Nothobranchius furzeri: one gene and its partners. The main gene of each other region encodes a partner of the protein of the gene in region 2 in a complex. Links are inferred from orthologs where the notes say so. Each region holds a gene or a part of one and is shown on either strand. Other genes may lie near its edges.

The links.
Region 1: exosc6 (region 2) and exosc8 share a complex: the UniProt entries of both Homo sapiens proteins name them as parts of the RNA exosome core complex. The link is inferred for Nothobranchius furzeri from reciprocal best matches to the Homo sapiens genes EXOSC6 and EXOSC8.
Region 3: exosc6 (region 2) and exosc3 share a complex: the UniProt entries of both Homo sapiens proteins name them as parts of the RNA exosome core complex. The link is inferred for Nothobranchius furzeri from reciprocal best matches to the Homo sapiens genes EXOSC6 and EXOSC3.
Region 4: exosc6 (region 2) and exosc1 share a complex: the UniProt entries of both Homo sapiens proteins name them as parts of the RNA exosome core complex. The link is inferred for Nothobranchius furzeri from reciprocal best matches to the Homo sapiens genes EXOSC6 and EXOSC1.
Region 5: exosc6 (region 2) and exosc2 share a complex: the UniProt entries of both Homo sapiens proteins name them as parts of the RNA exosome core complex. The link is inferred for Nothobranchius furzeri from reciprocal best matches to the Homo sapiens genes EXOSC6 and EXOSC2.
Region 6: exosc6 (region 2) and exosc9 share a complex: the UniProt entries of both Homo sapiens proteins name them as parts of the RNA exosome core complex. The link is inferred for Nothobranchius furzeri from reciprocal best matches to the Homo sapiens genes EXOSC6 and EXOSC9.

The regions. Positions count from the first base shown.
Region 1 is NC_091750.1:62,637,289-62,641,254, forward strand, and holds exosc8 (exosome complex component RRP43), read left to right. Parts: upstream 1-1,266; 5' UTR 1,267-1,331; coding exon 1,332-1,348; intron 1,349-1,611; coding exon 1,612-1,648; intron 1,649-1,745; coding exon 1,746-1,809; intron 1,810-1,994; coding exon 1,995-2,068; intron 2,069-2,142; coding exon 2,143-2,188; intron 2,189-2,322; coding exon 2,323-2,428; intron 2,429-2,511; coding exon 2,512-2,557; intron 2,558-2,631; coding exon 2,632-2,728; intron 2,729-2,808; coding exon 2,809-2,929; intron 2,930-3,017; coding exon 3,018-3,124; intron 3,125-3,246; coding exon 3,247-3,365; 3' UTR 3,366-3,466; downstream 3,467-3,966. UniProt on the Homo sapiens protein: Non-catalytic component of the RNA exosome complex which has 3'->5' exoribonuclease activity and participates in a multitude of cellular RNA processing and degradation events.
Region 2 is NC_091744.1:81,855,721-81,859,406, reverse strand, and holds exosc6 (exosome complex component MTR3), read right to left. Parts: upstream 2,296-3,686; 5' UTR 2,248-2,295; coding exon 1,970-2,247; intron 1,102-1,969; coding exon 561-1,101; 3' UTR 501-560; downstream 1-500. UniProt on the Homo sapiens protein: Non-catalytic component of the RNA exosome complex which has 3'->5' exoribonuclease activity and participates in a multitude of cellular RNA processing and degradation events.
Region 3 is NC_091741.1:64,434,426-64,438,604, forward strand, and holds the start of exosc3 (exosome complex component RRP40), read left to right. Parts: upstream 1-1,379; 5' UTR 1,380-1,421; coding exon 1,422-1,646; intron 1,647-2,133; coding exon 2,134-2,283; intron 2,284-2,970; coding exon 2,971-3,122; intron 3,123-3,658; coding exon 3,659-3,866; 3' UTR 3,867-4,179. UniProt on the Homo sapiens protein: Non-catalytic component of the RNA exosome complex which has 3'->5' exoribonuclease activity and participates in a multitude of cellular RNA processing and degradation events.
Region 4 is NC_091746.1:82,295,855-82,299,976, forward strand, and holds the start of exosc1 (exosome complex component CSL4), read right to left. Parts: upstream 2,801-4,122; 5' UTR 2,754-2,800; coding exon 2,696-2,753; intron 2,217-2,695; coding exon 2,101-2,216; intron 299-2,100; coding exon 224-298; intron 1-223. UniProt on the Homo sapiens protein: Non-catalytic component of the RNA exosome complex which has 3'->5' exoribonuclease activity and participates in a multitude of cellular RNA processing and degradation events.
Region 5 is NC_091746.1:53,646,581-53,650,731, forward strand, and holds the start of exosc2 (exosome complex component RRP4), read left to right. Parts: upstream 1-1,351; 5' UTR 1,352-1,572; coding exon 1,573-1,694; intron 1,695-1,767; coding exon 1,768-1,869; intron 1,870-1,982; coding exon 1,983-2,028; intron 2,029-2,117; coding exon 2,118-2,207; intron 2,208-2,291; coding exon 2,292-2,357; intron 2,358-2,445; coding exon 2,446-2,514; intron 2,515-2,678; coding exon 2,679-2,855; intron 2,856-4,151. UniProt on the Homo sapiens protein: Non-catalytic component of the RNA exosome complex which has 3'->5' exoribonuclease activity and participates in a multitude of cellular RNA processing and degradation events.
Region 6 is NC_091746.1:81,904,938-81,907,820, reverse strand, and holds the end of exosc9 (exosome complex component RRP45), read left to right. Parts: intron 1-1,391; coding exon 1,392-1,480; intron 1,481-1,566; coding exon 1,567-1,716; intron 1,717-1,806; coding exon 1,807-1,982; intron 1,983-2,060; coding exon 2,061-2,136; intron 2,137-2,220; coding exon 2,221-2,284; 3' UTR 2,285-2,383; downstream 2,384-2,883. UniProt on the Homo sapiens protein: Non-catalytic component of the RNA exosome complex which has 3'->5' exoribonuclease activity and participates in a multitude of cellular RNA processing and degradation events.

The DNA of each region.
Region 1 (3,966 bases), on a different chromosome or scaffold from region 2:
AACTAAGTTATTTTCTACAGGGCTGCCAACTTGTGATGGTTTCCATGCACGAGGAGGTGTGTGAAAGGGGTCAGACACGTGTCTCACGCTCAATGGGAAGCTAAGTCACACCCATCTATTTCCGACCATGGGTCCCCAACAGGGCTGGACTGGGACAAAAAATCAGCCAGTTCGTTTTGAGCCGAGACCGGCCCACCAGCTAGTGAAGTTAAAAAGCAATGACGCCTATTTTTTACACCACCTCTCTAACCCTGGGCCTCGATATTCCATATCCATCATGTTTTACTTGTTTCCCTGCTCCAGCACAAAAACTGAGCTTATTTTGCTGCTTAACCCTTTGGTGCATAACGGTCACTACAGTGGACAGTTACTCAAAATTGTTATTTATTTATTTTTGCTATTAAGCACAGCTGTTGAAGACTTTATTGCATATGAGCCCTTCCATTTGGACTTCAGTAAGTCAAGCCACCATATTTCATGTTCAGAATGCACATTGTCCACTGAGATGGACATGTAATAAAGTATTTGTAAATTAACAAAATGGTACAAAAAATATTTGTTGAAATTTGTTTCATTCACACCTAAAGATGAATGAAAAAAATAGTTTAAAAAATCATGGTTGAAGATTTCATAATTCATGCATCAGAGGGTTAATGCAACAAAACATCAACAGACCAAGACAATCTTCAGATATCTAACTGCTCGTTTGAGGTTGAGTAAAGAAAACAGTAAAGCAGAAAATAATCAGAAAACCGAGTTGCCATGCATGCACTGCTCACACACACACACACACACACACACACACACACACACACACACACACACACACACACACACACACACACACACACACACACACACGCACGCACGCACGCACGCACACACACACACACACACACCAACATCAAAACACATGACTTGTTTAACAGTTTAATTTTGTATTTTAAAAGAATGATCCAAACCATTCTAACTAAAAAGTTCAGTTTGAAGACATAAGAGAATCCACAATTTTGCTCTGGATTGTTCGGTTAGGAAAGAGGAGTTTGTAAGGAATATTTATTCACTGTCAATTGTTTAAACACTACAATATTGTTTGTTTAGCAAATTAATATATCGAGTTTTATTTAATCTTTATTAATTGTGACCGGTTATCAATTTGAAAGTTTTATTGACCTTACAACACCAACTCATTTTTGAAAAAGACGAATTTGTTGGCCAGTTTTTCGTTCATTTCCGAACTCCAGTCCAGTTGGTGGCGGTAATGCACACTTGTCGTTGGTAATCACAGTTTCGTCGCGGCCACCGTAGTTCACGTGGGTAATCAAAACATCATGGCGGCTGGTTTCAAGTAAGTCATTTTTAACATGTATTTTTCTTTATATTCAGACTTTGATTTTCATCAAATATATATCATCGATATATTTAATGTTCAGTGTTATATCTAAATTTAGTTTGCTTGTCAAAAAATACAGAAACAACATTTCTGTGACGTCAGTTGGGCTAGTGACGGGATAGTACACTTTATTTGTTAGATTTATCGGTCTGCTGTTTATTGCAGGATCGCACGTGTTTGTTACTAATTTGTCTTATTTAATTTCTTTAAACTTTCAGGACGGCGGAGCCTCTGGAGTATCACAGGAGCTTTTTGGTTCGTCAAATACATACAAACTATACCCAGTAGAAACCCATAAATGTTATTATTATTGTTATTAGTGTCATTGTAATTGCAAATGCTTCATTTGCAGAAAGAAAATTGTAGACCTGATGGGCGGGAGTTGTCTGAATTTAGAAGTACAACCTTAAACATTGGTAAGAAAATAAATTAAATGTTTCCTCCCTGTAATAAAACATAATTTTAGATATGATGTAAATAAAATAATATGTACTTCTAATACAAAATGAGTCGGCTCATATTTTTTCAACTCCAACATTTTCCAGTGCCTAAAGGGCTGATCACTGCCAGCTGTAACAGTTTTTACTTATTTTCTGTTCAGGGTCTATTTCCACTGCAGACGGCTCCGCTCTGGTAAAGCTGGGAAACACCACGATCATCTGTGGCATCAAAGCGGTACTGGTGCACAATGACTCAAACCGCTACTGCTAAGATTTCTTTAGGTGTTAAAGTCATGTGTTCATATGCAGGAGCTGACTAACCCTACTGTGGATGCACCTGGTAAAGGTTACATAGGTAAGTTCTGAACACATTTTACAGCCTCCTTGTTTCCATCAGGTTTTCATTGCTTAATTCTTTATCTCGTATTTTCTGTTTGATTCTGTATTTTATTATGACATCATCATCTGTCTATATATGTTTTAAAAAAGTGCCCAATGTAGACCTGCCACCCCTGTGTTCGTCCCGCTTCCGACCAGGCCCACCAGGGGAACAGGCCCAGGCTGCCAGCCAGTTCATCGCTGATATCATTGAGAGGTGTGTTAAGCCTTCAAACACCTTTAGTTTCCAGCTGTAGTGTTTCTGCCACTGCTTTGACTTAACCTTCATGTGTCGTGCAGCTCTGAGGTGATCAAGAAAGAAGACTTGTGCATTGGCCGAGGAAAGGTGATTTTAGACTCATGTGTGGACTTTATTTGTTGTAATATATTCAATCATAATTCTGCTAAATCTTGTTGCAGCTCTGCTGGGTCCTCTACTGTGACATCATGTGTCTCGACTATGACGGGAACATCCTAGATGCTTGTGTTGTCGCCCTTCTGGCTGCCCTGAAAACCAGTAAGTAGGGTTGAGACTTTACTGAAACGGTGCATGTAATAAATAAAATAAATCTATCTTTTAGTAATCTTTCCCTGCAGCACAACTCCCAGAAGTCACCATCAACAAAGAGACGTCCGCCCCGGAGGTGAATTTTGAAAAGAAACACAAACTTAACATTCACCGACATCCAGTCAGCGTCTCCTTTTGCATCTTTGATGAGTACGTTTGTTTGATTTCAATTCAATTTTTATTTTAGGTACAAGTGCCATTTTGTTCTTCTTTAAGCCTTTTTGGTTTTCCTGTGCAGCTCCATACTGATCGTAGACCCCACCGCCGAGGAGGAGAGCCTGTCGACGGCACGCCTCACTGTGGTGATGGATGAGGAAGATCAGCTGTGCTCCTTACATAAACCAGGTCAGAGATGGCACATCTGTGATCTTTAGATTTGTGGTGCTTCTGCCATGAAATAAAGCTTCAGATTATTTTGAGTATTTTGAGAAAACGGGGATAAAAGGCTCTGCAAACTTTGCCTCCAGGTGGAACGCCACTGTCGGGAGAGAAGCTGCAGGAGTGCATCAAAAGAGCAACGGCACGAAAGGGAGAGATCCACAAACTTATTGAGAAAGTCATAAAAAGCATGAAGACAGCTCAATAAATACACTCAGACAACATTTTTTATCTAAAAGTTGTATTTTCCACTGTCAATATATATTCTTTTTTAATAACAATAAAACTGCTGACAAAGACTTAAAAAAATTATCTTTTCAGTGTCCAGAAATGTCTCACGCACACTTAGCTGATGTCTTAATTCATGTAAGAATATGCTCATGGCTCCTTGTTAAAAGGTAACACCTTTTGAAAATCTGCTGTACAAACGCACGCCGTCTTGCATGATGACTCTGAGTCCTCGCGTGAGCCCTGCGCCGGAATACTCCCCAAGATCAGATTTGCATTTTCACGTCGTGGACACGTGGACGGCTTGGTGTTGCTAATCTGTGCTTAAAGGGCAGCCTCATGCGAAATTCTCTTTAAAATGTCCTCTCACTCCACAGGGCCTCGGCAGAGAAAAGTCTTCCGAAAGTAGAAATATGTAACCGTGGAAGCTCGTTACCTACAAGACCCGTCTTCTTCTTGATCATCTGAAAAAAAATATCACCAAGGCTCTTAGAGCTTCGGGCTTCCTGCTGTAGAAACCAGTTCCCCCACAGTGGACAAAGGTTTGGTTTTCAGAAAACATCTGAGAACCAAATCATAAA
Region 2 (3,686 bases):
GTCATTCTCTTGTCAAATTCCCAACAGAAAAATAAAGAACTTTACCTCCTTTTGTGTTTTCTGTGGTTCTGACCCAGCTCTTCTTGAGCTCCTGTTCCAGGTGAGTGGGACACGTTTGTCCAGAACGTCCCACAGATCTGTAGTCAAGCTGGTTTTTTAGGTTGATTAAAGACTAAAGGGTTCCAGAAAAGGATCACAGAAGCAAAAACTAGAAATATTCCGGTGGAAAAGGTAAATAAACACCGGATATGTTAGTTTAACTTTAAGACTTCGTTTAGGTTTAGTTTCTAACTGGCTTGTATTAGAAGAAATAATTGGAGGACATTTGAAGTAGAACAGATTGTTGGTGCACAGCGCCCTCTGGTGGTGGTGTTCAGGTGCACAGCGCCCTCTGGTGGTGAGAGGCTCTCGACAGGAAGAGGGAATTTCAAACTAATTATTTTTTTTACCTTTTCATGAATCAGAATTTTTTTGTGTGTCAACCAGATTAAAGACCAACACAAAGTTAGCTATTTTATTACATATTAAACTCGTCAAACGCTGAGCTGTTGGAGCGTCTCTCAGGTAGACGGGGGCGCCGCCCGGCGGACCGCTTTGGTCAAGACCTTTTGGATAACCGGGTAAAGTTTGTAGCATCCTTCGATGCAGGTCCGAACCCCCGCAGTCAGGGTCTCCTCAGACATCTCACCGTCGGACTGCAGCCCAGAAATCTGGTTCAGACTGGGCAGGAAGGCCACTGTGAGCCCGCCCCGGCTCTCGCTGCTGTTACACCTCCAGCCGTTCTCCTCCAGGTAGGACGGGTCGACCACGTAGGAGCTCCCAACCTGCTGGAGGGAACATCCGAGCACCAAGTCGTACATCTCAATCCCCGCATCCGCGAGCGCGAGGGAGGCACAGGTGACGGCGTGGGCCAGGGCTGAGCCGCTGTTCTCCAGAACCATCACGCTGACGTCGATCTGAGAGCGCGGGTATCTCTGGAGGCACACGGCCGGCTGCAGGCTCTCGTGCAGCATCAGAGACAGGTCCTTGTCCTGGCTGCCCTGGATCCACGGGACCCTCTCTGGGCAGGAAAAAGGGGCGAAACGCACATCAGTGGTCAGCCTGGAAGCAGAAACGCACATAGGATCATTTTCCCAAACAAAACCATCCCAAACATTACAATCCGATGAAAATAATCTTCTGTTTTCAGGTTAAGTAAAGGAAAATGATCGAGTCGCTTGGAAAACTGATAAAAACAAATTCCTGTTGGTTGAGCTAATTTGCTTTATTGGGTTAAAATTTGATTTAAAAAAAAGTTAGATAAATCTCTTCAAGTCTACAATCATTTCGCCTTGCTGCCACCGGAGGGCGCGATATCTGATGAGTTAAGTGCTGTAGCTAGCTGCTGATGCTCCCTGCTTTAGCTTGTTGATTTAATCCTGTTTAACTCATAGATGTATTAAGTTTTAAGAGTTACGTAGTTTGTATATGTGCACACGCTCTGACTTTCTCGTTATCTACACTAATTGTGCTGTTGGCACCAATTAAAAAACTTAAAAGTGGTTTGTTTTATTTTGAGGGGTTAGTCTCGTGGAAGCTGTAACTGCTTTTGTCCGCCAGAGGGCGGAAAAGTCCATATTCTCGGAAGCCTGCTACTAAAAGACTGAATTATCTTGTTTATATCCAGTTGACCTAAATAATTCAAATAACTAACTAATCTGACATGTTTGATTGTAAATTGCCTGGTCTGGGAACACCTTTGGCTCTCCTAGGCTGAGTTAAGAGTGTCACTGGGAAGGAGTTCACCTACATCACCTGGCCTAGGGTAAGTTAAGGATTCAAATCTCCCTCTAGCCGCCAGAACATTTGCTCTTTCTACCAATGGGAAGGTTTGATGATCACAAAAAACACTCGAACTTCACTTTCGAACACATGAACAATCAGGCTGAACCTGTCGAGCAGAAAACGTGATTGTGATAAAGCAGCGTACCTCCCACTTTTCATATCGGTCTCGTCTTTCCGATCGGTTTCTCGGGGTCCGTAAACGCAGCTGATCAGCTTCGTGTTTCCAGCTTCGATGTAAGCGGAACCTTTAGCTTGACTCACCAGGCCGCAGCGGACGAAGACCGGCCGGACGTCAACTTGGTCCCGCTGCCGACCGTCTTCTCGGGGCCCACGCGAGGCTAGAACCGCAGCGGGTTTGTACCCGAGCAGCACGGGGCTCTGAGAAACGTCCGGACCACGAACCCGCTTCGTATCTGTCGGCATGGTGCATGCGGAAGTGGATCGCTCATAAATGTGTCCCCAAAGAACTACAACGGGAGTGGAAAAGTTCCCTCAAATTTTAGTTCCTACTGTGTTCCGGAAAAGTTCCCTCAAATTTTAGTTCCTACTGTGTTCCGGAAAAGTTCCCTCAAATTTTAGTTCCTACTGTGTTCCGCAATGTTTCATCAGCTTTTTTTTTCTTATGTAGTTTAAAGCGATGCAACAAACTGTTGTTGTATTTTAAAAGTATTTAAGTCACACACTATACCAGTCAATAATGTTATAGTTACCTTGCAGTTTATTAAAGCCCAGAAATGTATTAAAATTTCAAAATAAAATTCTGATTAATAAATGACTCTATTCACTTTGGATTCATGTTATTAAAAAGGACAATGTTGGACAAAGTTCTTAATAGTAAATACATAAGAGATTTACATACCGTCTAACAACAGGATTGGCTGCATAGTGTTTACTGTTAGCCTCAAGGGTAACCTGCTGGCTTGATTTTCACCTGTAAGTCGCTTTGGACAAAAGCGTCTGCTAAATACATAAACATAAAAATAATTCAGTCACACTTGAGACATATTTTCTATGACTAAATATTGATATTTATATTTTTTATTTAAGATCTTTTCATCAGAAGACACGGTATCGTTGTATAATTATTACTTCATTTAATAAATTCAAATATATGTAAAAGTAAAAAATGGTGTAGGTTTAATTATTTCTTTGCTAACACTTCATTTGTGGTAATGACAGGTGTTAGCCAGAAGAGGGCGACAGTTACCCAGCAACCAAAGATTAAAAACCTGCAAGACAATTCACTGCTTTGTAATGTTGAATTTGCTGGATGTACCGCAACAACCATACTATGTATATATAAACATATATGTATTTATATACATACATATGGCTATAACTAACAAATCCAAAATGTCCTTCTCATTGGTTTTAAATAACTTTATTTTCAAACTTACACAATTCTGACACGTATTAAGTTTTAGTGAGGCGGCCAAAGACATTTTTACCTGTAGAAAGTCGTTCATACACAGCAGCGTTAACTCATTATTTTACTACGTTGCATTTAAAAAACGCTATGTAATAAATTAGTGCGAATGTCTAAATTAAAGGCAAATTGAATCATAGATGTGCCTTGCGCACATACTTGCGCAGCGCAAAACGTCAACACAAAAAATATTAAAGTTCGGAAAACCATCAAAAGACTGTGTTGAATGTTTTCCTCATTTATTGAGGCTAAACATTATAACCATCACATGTTTTACACGTTAGTAAAAGAAAAAGACTGTTGGCACCTGCGTCTTTTTCATTGCATCAGCCAGAGCAGTAAAAGATTGTACCTGATGTGGCGGGCTTGGTCAAGACTGACAGTGATGTTATCCAATAGGATTGGACGCTTGATGACGTACATCTGTGTCTGGACC
Region 3 (4,179 bases), on a different chromosome or scaffold from region 2:
TGATTCTGCATGTCTTGGGTTAGACACATCCCTCAAAACATGACACATCACTCCCTGTTCTTAAATCTCTACTAGGGCTGCACATTTAATCAAATTTTATTCCCAATTATGACTTAAGTTTTGAACGATTATGAAAACAAAACAAGCCGATTATTTGCTCCTTCCTCTTGCACTGCTCCGAGTTGCAAATCAAGTGTTCACCCCCACAGTGTTGCCCACTTAGCAACTTTGTTGCTATTTCTAACAGCTATTCAGACCCCCTTCTTGACTTTTTAAATCCTAAAAGTACCTAGTTAACAACATGGAAACATCTAAGATAACACTTAGCTGCTTTCTGGATGGAGGGTGAAGGAGACATGTCCAACTTTTTAATCATTGAGGTGGGCTGAAAACAGCAGGAATACTCATATTATTAAAAATATGCACGCACCAGGGGCGTGTCCAGGGAGTAGCCTGGGGTAGCAAATGCCACCCTTGGAATCTGATTGGCCACCCCAGGTGCCACCACACTGAATTCCCTTTAAATAGGCTTTTCATTGTCCACAAAAGGCTTGGGGTAAAAAAAATGTAAAAAAGCATAACCATTGGTGCCACCCATGCACAAAGTAGTGCATCACCTAGGCCACCCCATTTTAAAAGATCTGGACACGCCACTGACACGCACCTCTCTTCTGACTGGCTAACAGAACATGTTCAGCCATGTTACAAAGTGACTATCACCAAGACACTCTCCGTTCTCTCTCCTCACTGTAAAAAAGTTAAAAAAGCCATCCTGTGCATGCACGAGCAAAGATAGGCTCGGCCAGTTCACACTGTGACATAGATATGTGAGGATTTTCAAATCCTAGCATTTCACAGTCTATTTTCTATCAGAAGCTAATGCAGGAGATAGGTGTAGAAGACTGTTTTCATGTTCAGCCTGCATGAAAAATTCAGAGTGACCGGTTCCCTGTCATTTCACTTTATTTATTATAACTCACCTTGTACTTCCTGATTTCTTTGTGTGAATTCCATATATGGGTTTATAGCAACATCTGGAGCAAATTTTGTGTCAATAGCCCACTTAGACATGCCCTTACTGATAAAAACGCTGAGGAGGTTCTGGGGTCAGTCGCTTCTATAGTTTTAAAAGATTCAGTGTGGACTGGAATCAGATTCATGCGGTTTGTCTGCCGCTCCATAAAGGGTCCCAAATCACGGCAAAGCTCCAGAAGGATCTCCTTCAGTATTCAGAAATTAGCCAGACTAAATAAATATATTATTTATATTTTTTATTGCAAAGCAAGAGTTTGGTCTAGTTCTCTTCTTGAGCAGCAGGGAGCGAGCTGAGCCGGAGGTCTATCTCCTCCTGAGCAGCAGGGGGCGCTCTGAGTCGGAACCAGAACAGAACCAAGAGGTCCAGACTTCTTCTAGCTAGCGGTATGTTTTCAAGTCTGAAGGAGAAAATCGGTGAAGTTCTTTTACCTGGAGATGAATTTGTCTTCGAGTCTGAGGACACAATTTTTCTAACAGACAATGTGAAGCCAGAGCGGCCGGTGTGTGGACCGGGGCTGCGGCAGAGCGGAAACCGGCTGGTGGTGAGCAAGAGCGGCGTGTTGAGGCACAAACCACCGCACACGTTTTGGATGGACTCACAGCAGTGGAGGGTGGGTACCGACCGGTCCAGACTGGACTCGCGGCCGAACCTGTCAGAACAGAACCGTGAGAGCTAATAGACAAGGTTCAGAGTTCTCACTGATGAAAAACCCGGCGGAAATTACATGTGTTTCTAGTTATTTGTCCCCCTATCCATACATTTGCGATGTGTTAACTTTTTTATACCCTAAAGTTTATCATTTATTATCTATTTCATATTCAAATCTGTTGAATATTCGTTTCCTTGTTAATGGTTATTTTTATTGTTCTATACACTTTGTTGTGATCGTATATAAAATTAAAAAGTTAATGTACCGGAAGTCTGAAGGAAGTCAAAGTTTGAAACTTTCTACAAAACTAAACTAGGGTGAAGTTAGGTTTATGTTGCAGTGGTGTTTTATACTGTTTCATCCGGTAACGATTATGGAAAGGTAAACTGGTCACGTTGGCACAAGCAGCATGTTCTATCCACTCACCACCTGAAACTTCTGTCCTCAGTATGTCCCAGCCAAAGCAGAGACGGTCATTGGTATTGTGACATCCAAGTCTGGGGACATCTTTAAGGTGGACGTTGGAGGCAGTGAGCAGGCATCTTTGTCCTATCTGGCCTTTGAAGGAGCTACAAAGAGGAACAGACCCAATGTCCAGGTGAGACTCAGGGGACAGTTTTTTTCTACTTGAAACAAGTGAGTCATGTTTAGAGTCCAGATTTGGGGGACCCGTCAGCTGTTTTTAGGAGTTCTGTGTCCCTTGTGACCCCAAAATCACAAGCATGCAACACACAGACACACATATGATCACTGTAGAGGATTGAAAGAAGAGTTCTGATGTATTGTTTTTACGCTGACCCAGTATGGAACGTGTCGGGACCAACAGGAAGTACACCTGATCGTTTAGTCATGCTGGGTGTCTTATGGGAAGAAAAAAAGTCTCAAAAAAATCTGTGTCTGTGTGTATCTTGATGTGTGTGTGTATCTAGATGTGTGTGTGTGTAGATAGATCTAAGCATGTATAACTCTTGATTTGTAACTTGTTTACATTTTCGTGTGTAACTTCAGTTCCTACACATACAGATCATTAAATAAACACACACACACAAATCACTTAGTACACACGGACAAAACTACATTACACACAGATCAGTTTACAAGTGCAAAAATCCTTTTGAGACTCATTTTCTCACCTGACTGATTTGTGCCTACATGGTGTGTTTGAATGCTGCATGTCTGATGGCTCAGGACCTTTTGGGTCCCTCTGGACTATCAGTACTTTGGTGCCCTGTCCTTATTGGACCAGATCAGCTTATGTATTGCCCTCTGTGTGTTCCCTGTGCAGGTTGGAGACCTGGTGTTCGCTCAGTTCACTGTAGCCAATAAAGACATGGAACCAGAGCTGGTGTGTATCGACGGATCGGGCCGGGCCAACGGGATGGGTGTTTTCGGAGGAGGTGGTCTGCTCCTCAAAGTCTCTCTGGGCCTCGTTAGAAGGTAACATTACCCAACATTTTCATTCTCTGACTGACAAACTCTGAACCAGCAGGAGCTTCTGGATGAGTATCAGGACTGGGTCAAAGGCCGGGTTCTGTTACAGTTGGGTTTCATCTACAGACATCAATTTACTTGCAAAGGTGTGAAGTTCTCACAGAACCACATATTTAGTCCTGATGGTTCTGGAACAAGACCCAGGTTATTTAAAGAGAATTTGTCTGAAACTGAAGCAGAGGTCATTGTCTGAGAACTGGGTCAGTTTGTCTTTAGTTCCATTTTTAATTGAACCATATGTGCCAGAGGGAGTGGCCTATTCTGACTCATAAGTCCAGTGTTGGGTAATAAAGAATCCTCTGACAGAACAGCTTCTGTGAGTGTCTTGCAGCTGTTCTAAATCAGAACAAGAGCCTCTTAACTCCTGCATGTATCTGTGAGTGATTATCAACAGGACAAAGTTAATCTGTTACAAAGACCCAACATTGAGTTCTGACATGGTAACAGCTCTGGTCGTGCTCTCGTTTCTCCCTCCCTAACAGGCTGCTGGCCCCCCAAAGTGACATCCGGTCTGACCTGGAACAGCTGTTCCCCTGTGAGCTGGTGGTGGGAATGAACGGTCGGATTTGGGTCCGAGCATCCACCATCCAGCAGACTCTGATCATCTCCAATCTCCTGCAGAGCTGTGACACCCTGACAGCACCGCAGAGACGGGAACAGTTCAGGAAGCTCCAGAAGGGGGGGCTGTAGGCTTCCCCCTCATCATATTTTACTCATTTTATTCATTAACTTGTTTATAACTTTGGTGGAAATAAGCTTTATTTCTGTTTGGAACAGGGTGACTTATTGGTTAAAAGTTTCATGACAGGTAGGAGCCATCACTGTGGAGACATGTGTTTGATCTTTAGAACTTGTGTTTAAACATCCAACAGTGGATTTTAGTTCTAAGGATCATTCCAGTGGAATTCAAAGCTGAGATGATGGAATGATGTAGCTGCAGTCTCAGGCAGGTGAATTTGGTGCCTGGAGGGAACCTGACAGATCAAATCCAACAAGTCTTAAA
Region 4 (4,122 bases), on a different chromosome or scaffold from region 2:
CCTGCTCGACCCGAGCATCTCTCTTTTTCTGTGATTTTACAGAAAAACAGGCAATCACAGTAAAAATGCCAGGGCTCATTCTACAGGACCAGGGCATTGCAGGAGAATGTATGAAGAAGACATTTATTATTTCTATACATGTTTTGGCTGTCACACTTCCATAATGCCCCTTTAATCAGAGACGTCTTTAATCTCATTTTAGAAAACTGTTTCCATAACATACCTTACAGGTGACAATGGCTCCTACATCTGGAAGTAGTTGAGCTTCTGTTTCTCTCACCACTGAGATCACTGGTAACTAAAAACACACAAATGCATTCATGAGTACAAAAGTCAGTAATAAGTACATTTAAATCTTCAGCAGTAGCTCAGGAAGTAAAGCGGGTAGTCCAGTGATCGAAGGGTTGTAGGATCGATCCCTGCACAGAATTCTGCTGGTGTGTCCTTGGGCAAGACACTTAACCCACCTTGCCTGCTGGTGGTGGTGGTCAGAGGGAATGGTGGTGCCAGTGTATGGAAGGCCTCACCTTTTTCAGCGCACCATTGGGAAGCTGTAGCTACACTGTAGCTCATTACCACCAGCAAGTGAATGCGTGTGTGCATGGGTGATGCCTTGGAGGGGTTGTAGAACCCTAGAAGGCACTATATCATTTTTGGTCCACTACAAAGCTACTGTATACAACAGCTATTAACTCTAGTCCAAATACCACAATCACCTAAATGGAATTAAACATTGTCCATCACATTAAGAATTTCATTTATATAAATTAGTACAAATGGATAGAGACCAAGCAGTGTTTAAGAAAATATGTAGAAAGAGTTGTATCATCACGGGTGTGAGCTTCACTGCTCATCTCAACATTAAAGAATTAAGCTTAAAAACACAGAAAAGCTTCAGAGTGCAAGAAAAACTGCCTAAAATTATGAATTCAGTCACATTCTGTCCAAGTCGTAATTCATTAGCTGGATTTTCTTATTTCACCTAATTTAGGCAGAGTAGTCGAGTTACAGATGAAATGAGGCTAACTGCATTTATTTTGTTTATTTTATCAAATGTGACACAATTTTGCTCCCTGGAATCAGTTTTAAACATTGAAACTTAAAGAGCAAGTCACCCCCTACCAGAGTTGTACTCCACTCCCACTTCATGTGTGAAAAATGCAACAAATGCTGTTGCCTGGCAGACCGAGAGGGCGGAGCCACTAACACACACACACACAGCATTGTGACATCATATGGTACCAACTAACGTTCTAGGGTACCTCTTAAGCCTGGGTCATGCTTCTCCGTCAGCTCCGCAAGGGACAGACACGCATGGATTGATGGAAGCGTTTTGCTCTCATACTTCTCCGTCCCCTGGAGTGTTGCAAAGCAATTCCCCGGCAGGACAACAGAGGGCGTAGCGCTGTTCTGTGGTATCCTGTCATTTATCGGTCCAAGATAGTGCGTTTATATTATGTTTTTTCATTGTCTTCTTCATGCGCTCGCCACCTTAAACCCAGGTTTCCTGTCATTTCTGTCCACAAATAAAATGCTTGCTGCGCATCTTTTCACTCCTCCAGTCACGGGGAATTAAACGTTCATATTTTAGAGGTTTTTCGCGAGGTATTCTTCAAGCTTCTCCGTGTCTGCCGCTTGTTATCCTCGGCTCTCTTTATGTTTTTGCGGGCGCAATGGCGGCGCTGTAGACAACAGCGGCGTCCTGACCAATCACAAGCTTGCGTTGTCCGTCTCGACTGACGGATGTTTAGAAAAGAGAGCTCGACTCCGTCCGTCCTTGCGGAGCTCTCCGGCAGGCCCGCAAGGACGTTGCGTGTCTCCACACTGACGCAGACGGAGAAGCATGAATCAGGCTTTAGCCAATACCGATGGCAGATTTAAACTCAAATGCAGCGCAGAGTTTTTACCTGACCATGGCACAACACTGACAGTTTTAGGCAGAAAATTAAAATTTTAACTAAAATGCACTTAAGTGCAAAACTATTGACAACACGGGTCTGCAGCACGATTAGATACACGTTTATATAGTTTATCAGACAAAATAAAGTTGATTTGGGGTGACTTGCTCTTTAAGTATATGTATTACATTATGATCCTCACCTTCTCGCCTTCGGTTGTCTTGAGCACAAAGCCTGCGAGTGAGGAGTAAATGTAGCCATGCCGCAGATATACTCCTGCGCCTGGATTACAGTCTCCCTCACTGCAAAGCTTGTCACCTGAGTGCAAACAGACAACAAGGGTCAGAAAACGCTACAGTAAAATAACAAACGAACAGTGTTAACATCACAGACATGAACACACCTGAAGAGCACAACCACTGTTTGTGACTTTAGTCAAACCCTCTCATTTTTAATGTGAGTTTGTGATTTAGTTGCCTTTCATTTCGTTTTATCAACATGGCAAACTGCTAATCCTGCATAGTCTAGTGAGTGATCGTTTTGTTTTGATGTAGCATAAACACAATTTAGTACTAAAGCTGGTTAGCGGATTTCTTTTGGGTGTGTGAACGAATGATAAATATGTGCTAATTCCACGCGTGTAGCAGTTGGGGCAACTTTAAAGCCCTCTGACTGAAGTTTAAATGCATACTTTAGTGACACATCGACGTCTACACGAGCTGGAATTGGTACGTGACCAAAACACGGTTCTAAATCTACGCAGTGCCTTGTATGGAACATTAAATCAGCGGACTCACCTGGAACACACAACTTCATGGGCGACATGTTTTCGACAAGAGTAGCTTGCGAGCTCATTGGTTGGGACGTCGTCTGGAGTCGATTCTGATTGGTCCGGCTGTGGAGACCGGAAAAGGGCGAAGGAAGGCTCCAGTGCTCATGTGCGAGAAAACGAAGCGCTCCGATTTGTACTCACACTCTCCGCGGGGTGTCGCCAACCTTTATGTTTTTGGTTTGTAAGGGAAAACTTGTTTTTACTTTATTAAAGATGAAGCACATATAAAGAACATTCATTTAAGTGTGTGAACAAACAAACATGGCTGAAGTATCAAATAAAGACCACAAACATCAAGAGAATCACATAAAGGGTAAAAAAACTAAAGGTTTATCAGTTATTTATCTTGCTGACAAGATAATATTTATTGAAAAGGAATATAGTTTCTGAGCTTTTGTTCTTTCATAACTGTTAACGATTTAACATAAATATGAAATTATTTTTAAAAGCTAAGAAAGTCTTTGCTTTTGCAGATGACGTTGTCCTGTTGTTGGCTTCATCAGAACGTAATCTCCAGCTCTCACTGGAGCGGTTCACAGCACAGTGTGAAGGAGTCGGGATGAGAATCAGCTCCTCTAAATCCGACACCATGGTCTTGAGTCGGAAAATGGTAGAAGAACTTGTCCAGGTCAGGGATGAGGTTCTGCCCCAAGTGGAGGAGTTAATGTATCTCGGGGTCTTGTTCACACGTGAGGAGAAGATGGGGCACAAGATCGACAGGCGGATTGGTGCTGCGTCTGCAGTAACGTGGGTGTTGTACCGATCTGTTGATTTCCTGGTTGATCTACGTTCCAACTCACACCTATGGTCACGACCTTTGGGTAGAGACTGAAAGAATGAGATTGCGGATGCAAGCAGCCGAAATTTTTCTCTGCAGGGTGGCTGGGCTCTCCCTTAAAGATAGGCTTGGTCATCCAGGAGGGGTTTGGAGTAGACACGCTGCTCCTCCACATCAAGAGGAGCCAGTTGAGGTGGCTCGGGCATCTAGTTAGGACGCCCCCCTGGTGAGGTTTTCTGGGCACGTCCAACCAGAAGAAGACCTAAAGGAAGACCCACTGGAGGGACTGTGTCTCTCAGCTGACCAGGGAACACCTTTGTATTCCCCCGGAGGAGCTGACCCAAGCGGCTGGGGAGAGGGAAGTCTGGGCCTCCCTGCTTAGGCTGCTGCCCCCACGACCCGACCCTCGATAAGCAGATGAAAATGGATGGGTGGAATCAAAGAAATAAGGGAAACTTTTAAAATTTTGCTCCTGTGAATAAAGTTTGGCAATATAAATTTCTTTGGGAACCAAGAGCGCCCAGAAACAACCCTCACACGCATAAGGACATTTAAAAGGTGTTGAACACTCATTGAATCAGTACATCTGCAGTAGTCTCTAGTAGGACTGAATG
Region 5 (4,151 bases), on a different chromosome or scaffold from region 2:
GCTTCTAATCTAAGCAATATTCTGAAGGTGGAAATAGGAAATCCTTCTTCTTTTAAAATATCTTTATTAATATAAAGTTTTATTTCTAAAGTCATTTTTTTCATAATAAACCAAATGATCATTGAGCCATTTTAATTTAATTCATTCAGTTTTTATTACATAACTTCTTTTTAATAGTGTTTTTTCCCATGGCTGATTTATTTCATAATGAGACTTTACAGCAGAATGTCTCAGTCCGTCAGTCAAACCAGTGGGTGTGACCTGCCATTTTAAAAGAAGAATGAAAAATATTTCATAATATTGAACTTAGATTTTACATAACATTCTGTTATTTCATCATTTCATTGTCAGATTACATGATTGTCTAGTATTTCTTCATGTAGACATTTATTTCATAATGTCTTATTTATTTATTGAATTTTGAATACTTTTGAGTTCCATAAAACAAAGCTATTTGCAGAGATAAGTCTGGGTTGGGGTGTTTGAAAAAATTAATTTGAGAGCAAAACAATAAAAAAGATTCTGACCTAGCCTAGAATCTAGACCGTCAATTGCTGAAGCAAAAATAATCTTGCATTATACTATATATATGTATTTTTAAGAGTCCACAATAAACTTATAGGGATGGCATTGGGATTATAGATATTTTAAGAACTCATCAAAACATTAATTACAGTTGAAAAAATACTGGATTGAGCTGAGAATGTATTAATTTAAATGGCATACATCTGTAAACATGAAAAGAAAAAAATTGATGTTTGGCTGTATTGTTGAGCTAACTTAAGAAAGCTCTAGAAAGGAAACAACCCCCAGGAGTCTGCATCCAAGTGTGAAATCCTCCTCATCACTGTTGTCTGACCTATGCATGCTCCAGGGGATGAATCAAAGTAAAGGCTGGGTGCAATCTGATGGTTTTCTAGGCTATATATTTTTGTACAAACTTTCATGAAAACAAATTTGAATTTATTTAAAAAGTCCAACCCTAATTATCCTGTTTTTGTATATTTTTCTGGAATATGTTTTTACCTTGCCTAATAAAATCACAAATTCTGCAAAGTAAACAAAAACTGAGGGAAGTGAAATTGATAAAGAAGAAATAAAAGCCCTGAATTAACAATTAAAGCGGGCTTATAAGATTCCACCAGTAAAACTGTGATGAATCTTATGATCACAGAAGTGGAATGATTTAGCTATTATTGAGTTGTTTGTTAATCTGAACCTGGCTGAGTCAGTAGTACTGCATTGATCTTTATTTGGCGGAAAGAGAGCAGTAACAAAACATCAATTTCTGTCGCTTTTACTCCGTACCAGTAGGGGGCGTTAGCTGGTCTCACAAACTACGTAACAGAGCAGAAGTAGGAGAGTGTGCTACCTAGCATCACAGACATGCATGGTCTGTTATAGTTATATTGTTGTCCATTTTTGTAGCTTGTTGAGCCAGTTGGTTTTTAAACGACTGTTAACTTTGGGGAGGAAACCCTTTCTTAAATTTTCTTCACTATTCTAAGTGTGCACATAGAAGTAAAGCCCTGTGGACTCTGTCGCGAGCGGGAAAAGTAAGAAGAAACAAGCATGGCAGTGGACATGAGATTACCGACTGTTAAAAAAACAATGACTTTGTCGGCTCCCGCTGTATACCGGAAAGATTTGGTAGTTCCCGGCGATGTTATCACCTCAGACACAGGTTTCATGAGGTGGGTACTGGTTCTACTGTGAAGCCTGGGAGTAAAGGCCTGGTAACCATTACTTTACCTCGTTTTCTCACAGGGGTCATGGAACATATGTCGACGATGATAAACTAACGGCTTCAGTTGCAGGAAAGGTGCAAAGAGTTGACAAACTAATCTGCGTCAGACCTCTAAAGACCAGGTACGCCATTAATTTAAGAGCCATGAAACATCATTTACCTCTGCACTGCTTTCACTTGCTATGTGTCCTGCTTTTATCTAAATGCAGTCCTATAACTCTGATGTGAATTACAGATTTAACGGTGAGGTTGGAGATGTGGTTGTTGGCAGGATCACGGAGGTGAACAAATGTTTTTGTGATCTAAAAACAGTAAAAAGATGTAGTACTTTCATCAAGAGTTTTCAGAATGGGGATGTTTTCAAATTCAGGTTCAACAGAAGCGGTGGAAGGTGGATACCAACTCCAGACTAGATTCGGTCCTCTTATTGTCATCTGTCAATCTGCCTGGAGGAGAACTGGTGAGATAGTAGAACGTAGCTTCATATGTTTTGGTTGAGATTTTTGTTTTTACTTTTGCTAAACTGATTGATTTTGCCTTTTAGAGACGAAGATCTGCAGAAGACGAGCTCACCATGAGAAAATACATCCAGGAAGGCGATCTAATCAGTGTAAGACACATTTGATTCAAAATGACCAACTTTTACTACCAGTTTTTTTTTATTCCTGACTGGGTTTGAACTTTTGTTTGTTTTTTAGGCAGAAGTGCAGTCTGTTTTTTCAGATGGAGCACTCTCACTTCACACTCGTAGTTTAAAATATGGAAAAGTAAGTTATAGCACACAGTGACACTGAGTAATCCCACTAATTTTTACACTAACACGTTCCTAATTATAAAAAGCTTCTTTTGTGGGAAAATAATCTGTAGTAATAATAATAATAATAATAATAATTTTAATCTCAATCTTATTTCAATTCTTTTTGACTGTCAGTTGGGTCAAGGAGTGCTGGTCCAGATTTCTCCTTCTCTGATCAAGAGGCAGAAAACACATTTCCACAATCTTCCATGTGGTGCATCTATAATCCTTGGTAATAATGGCTTTGTGTGGTTGTATCCCACGCTGGGACAACAGGATGAGGAAGCTGGGGGCTTCTACACCAGTTTGGAGGTACATTCAGAACCAGTCAAGAGAAGTTGTTCATAAACTTTATTGACTTGATTTTGATAGATGTGTGTGAGCGTTAAAGTGTGAGTAAAGCAGTTCAACATAATAAGTGATTTGTTTGAGAAACCTTGCTGGGTCTATTAAAGGTCAGTTTTGTGAGACATGATCTAGTATTTTAAGACATCATAAATGATAAACTACATGAATTTACCTAAAGGCACAAAGTATTTTTATGTCAAGAGAAGGAAAAGCTTCCTAAGGAATGAAAATTTGACCCTCTGACCTGACTTCTCACCTCTGTTTGTGAAGAAATACTTATTAAACATAATCTATTTAACACATCCAGACATGTAATGCTCTAAGAATTCCTCCTGGAGGAACGGGGCAGCCTTAGAGAGAAAAGCAACTTGAGACTGTTAAAGTATTGGGTATTGACCCTTTGCACGTGACCTCACGCCACTCATGTGACCGCCCCCTTCGCCATGACGGACGGCAAAAATACCATTTACACCTGTAGAATCCCCAGTGAAGCTGGTCAAAACAAGCCAGTTTGTAGCCTTTTATCGCTTTTATTTAGTTGATTTGACAGTAAAATGGTTTTAGCCTGCTGCATGGTCGGCTGCACTAAGAGACAAGGACATAAACTCAACTCGTTTTTTCTTTTTAATAAATTTGATGGGAGACTGAGGACGGAGACAAACTGCAGTGATCAATTAAGCGAAGTAGCCCTCAGATTTGCAGCGAACATGTTTTTACCGGGTAAGATTAATGTTCATTTATTTCACGAGGAAGACAGGGACAGGGATAAAGGTGATGTGTTCATACAAGTTATTGATAATCCTGATGGATGGGTATTTCACCCCGGATGACGCGCGCCGTCCACTGTTGTATAAAGCGAGACAATTATTAACAATATTAAAGCTCCGATGTATGATTACATGTGTTAAAATTACGTTATTTATTTATTTATATGAGCTTCAGCGTTCAGAGATCTCATTCCGATGTGAGAGCAGCAGCTGAACCCGGTAACACCACCAGCAACAGGAGCTGGTAGAGATCCAGACTTTTTAAAAATCTGCTTTGGTGTGAAGTGAAACGCTGTTTACAACATAAAGTTATAAATCCAGAGGGGTGGATTTAGGCAAAGTCAGCAACATGTTTACATCGGTGAACAGCTGCAGAGAGAACGTAAGCTAACGTTGGTAAGCTAGTTAACATACCGCTCTCTATGAGCCCCCGCTAGATGCGCTACTTCTGATAATGGAACTGGGCAAGAACTAGTTGAAGGAATGCTGGAAG
Region 6 (2,883 bases), on a different chromosome or scaffold from region 2:
CTCTTATCTCTCTGAGGGCTCCTTTTCTGTGGCAGTCTCCAAGTTTAGGTCCTCCACCACCTCCCTTACCCATGGTGTCCCACAAGGTTCTGTGCTGGGGCCTCTGCTCTTCCTCCTCTGTCTGCTTCCTCTTCAGCACATCCTGAGCTCCTTCAAAGGAATCTCCTACCATCTTTACACAGATGACATCCAACTGTACATCTCCTTTAAGCCCCATGAGATGTCTAAGCTGCAGCTGTTACACACCTGCTTAGACTCTATCAAAACCTGGATGGTGGGAGCTTTCTTCAGCTGAATGAAGATAAGACTGAGATCCTCATCTGTGCCCCAGACAAGCTGGTTCCCAAAGTCAGAGACTCTCTTGGTCAGCTTGCTTCCCACACCAAACCCTCCGTCAGGAATCTTGGCGTGACCTTTGACCCAGCTCTCACCCTGGATTCTCATGTCAGTTCTCTTGTTGGCTCTTCCTTCTTCCATCTCAGGAACGTTGCTAAGCTGAGTCCCATTCTGTCCCGCTCTGAACTTGAGACGGTTCTCCACTCCTTCATCTCCTCACGCTTAGACTACTGTAACTCTCTTTTCACGTGTCTGAGCAGAACCTCCCTGAACCGTCTACAGGTGGTTCAGAACGCCTGTGCTCGGCTTCTGACCAAGTCCTCCAAACACACCCACATCACCCCGCTTCTCCTCCAGCTTCACTGGCTGCCAGTCAACTTCAGGGTTCATTTCAAGATCCTGGTTCTGGTCTATAGGGCCTTACATGGACAAGCACCATCTTACATTGGTGATCTTCTTAGTCCCTACACCCCCAGCAGGTCCCTGAGGTCCAGTGATCAAAGCCTACTGGTTGTGCAGCACCAGGCCAAAGACCAAAGGTGACAGATCATCTGCTGCTGTCGCCCCCAGACTCTGGACCTCTCTCACCCTGAGCCTGAGATCAGTGGACTCAGTGGTCTCCTTTAAAAAGCAGCTGAAGACTCACTTGTTCAAGCTGGCTTTTGTATGACCTTCTTCACCTCTCTCTCTTTATTCTGCTCTCCCCACCTATTCCACCTTCCTCAGGATCCACTGATTTCCCTCTTTCCTATTCACTCTCTCTTTCTTAACATTTTTTTGATCACAATTGTCTATTTTTTGCTCATTTTAAATATATTTTTAACCATTTTCTAAATTGTTTTTTATATTTTAACATTTTTGTTTTTGTGAAGCGCCTTGTGATTTTTATCTTGAGAGGTGCTATAGAAATGATATTTTCTTCTTCTTCTTCTTCTTGTGACTCCCACGTGTCAGTCTGAAGTATATTTAGAAGGAATTCTTTGAAAAAAGACTTTGTTTAATAATTTAATTCCTAGTTGAATCCATCAGCATGTTTTTGCTCTGTGTTGTTGTAGGTTATGAGATGCAGTAAAATAGCCAGCGTCAAAGTGTCTGAAATCACTGAACTCATCAGTCAAGCCTTGTTAAATGACAAGGCTGCCAGGTGAGTGGCTGTCTCCTATTTATTACTACATTACCCACAATTCCCTTTAGAGGCTACATTTGAATGATGTGTTTGAAACGTTCCAGGAAGGCAGGTGGTAAATGTGGCTTTGCCGAGTCCATGCCTCAGGATCGGATCACAGCTCTGAAAATGGACCAGACCGATGTAGAGATGACCAACGTGAGCCAAACAGGAAGTGGGGTGATCCTCCAGGGAGATGAAGCCCCGCCCCCAACGTATCCTGAACTGAAATGAAAGGACAAAAAAGGAACGGCATTTGTTTTTGTTTCTGACAGTTAGTCTCCCTAACCACACACCCATACCAGAGTCCCATCCCCAGTGGTGCCGGTGCCAGGTGTTGGTCAGGTGGGTCAGGGTCTGCAGAGCTGGGGACTGGAGGAGGAAGAAGAAGATGATGATGATGAGGAGGAGGAGAGCAGTGGAGATGACCAAGTGGAAGAAGTGACACAGATAAAACTGTCAGAAAAAGACAAGAAAGAAGGTTATTTGTTTTCATAACTAAAAGTCATGGAAGAAGAAAAAAAATTATAATTGAACTTTAATGTGTTTTGTCTTACAGCAGCTGTGGTGGAGATTTCAGACAGTGAGGAAGAGGAGGTGGTCATACTTTATCCAGAGACGACAGAGAAATCAAAGTAACATCTATTTGTTTGATATGAAGCCGAGGAGGTTGATAAATTAAACTAATCTCACCGGTTTCTGATTTTTTTCTTCTTCAGGAATTCTGGGTCCAGATCTGACCAGAAGGGGGCAGCAGCATCCAAGAAACGCCAGAAGAAATGACCGCAGCTTGAAACCGAAACAGAGAAAATACTACAATAATATGATATCGAAAAAGGCTTAAAACTGATTCAAATAAATTTATTTTTTACATTTCTAGAATCATTGTTGCGCGAATCAAAAGTTTGTCCATCATATGTCACTCATAAGAAACTTAAATAAGTCATGAGTCAGGTTCACGATAACACACGAGATTCACGCTTAGACAAAAATTCACCGTGTAGATGTGATGGTGGAGTGATAAAAAAAACAAACCAATTTACGTTAAAAATAATCAGGTTCCACCGAGATTTGAACTCGGATCGCTGGATTCAGAGTCCAGAGTGCTAACCATTACACCATGGAACCATACTGGCATCGTCGGGCGAACTCCTTCCTATTGAAAAGCAGCAGAGACATACTGTTAATTTGTTTCTGTTTAGGTTTGCAGACACAACAGATATCTTTCGTTAAATGAATGCCAGTAGCACATTGAATTGCCTCTGTGTATGAAATGTGCAATATAAATAAAGCTGCCTTGCCTAGTGAAATGCGTTGTGGAGTCCTCTGGCGTCACATAAGTGCAGATCATTTATGGTTAAAATAATGACGGATTTGGACAG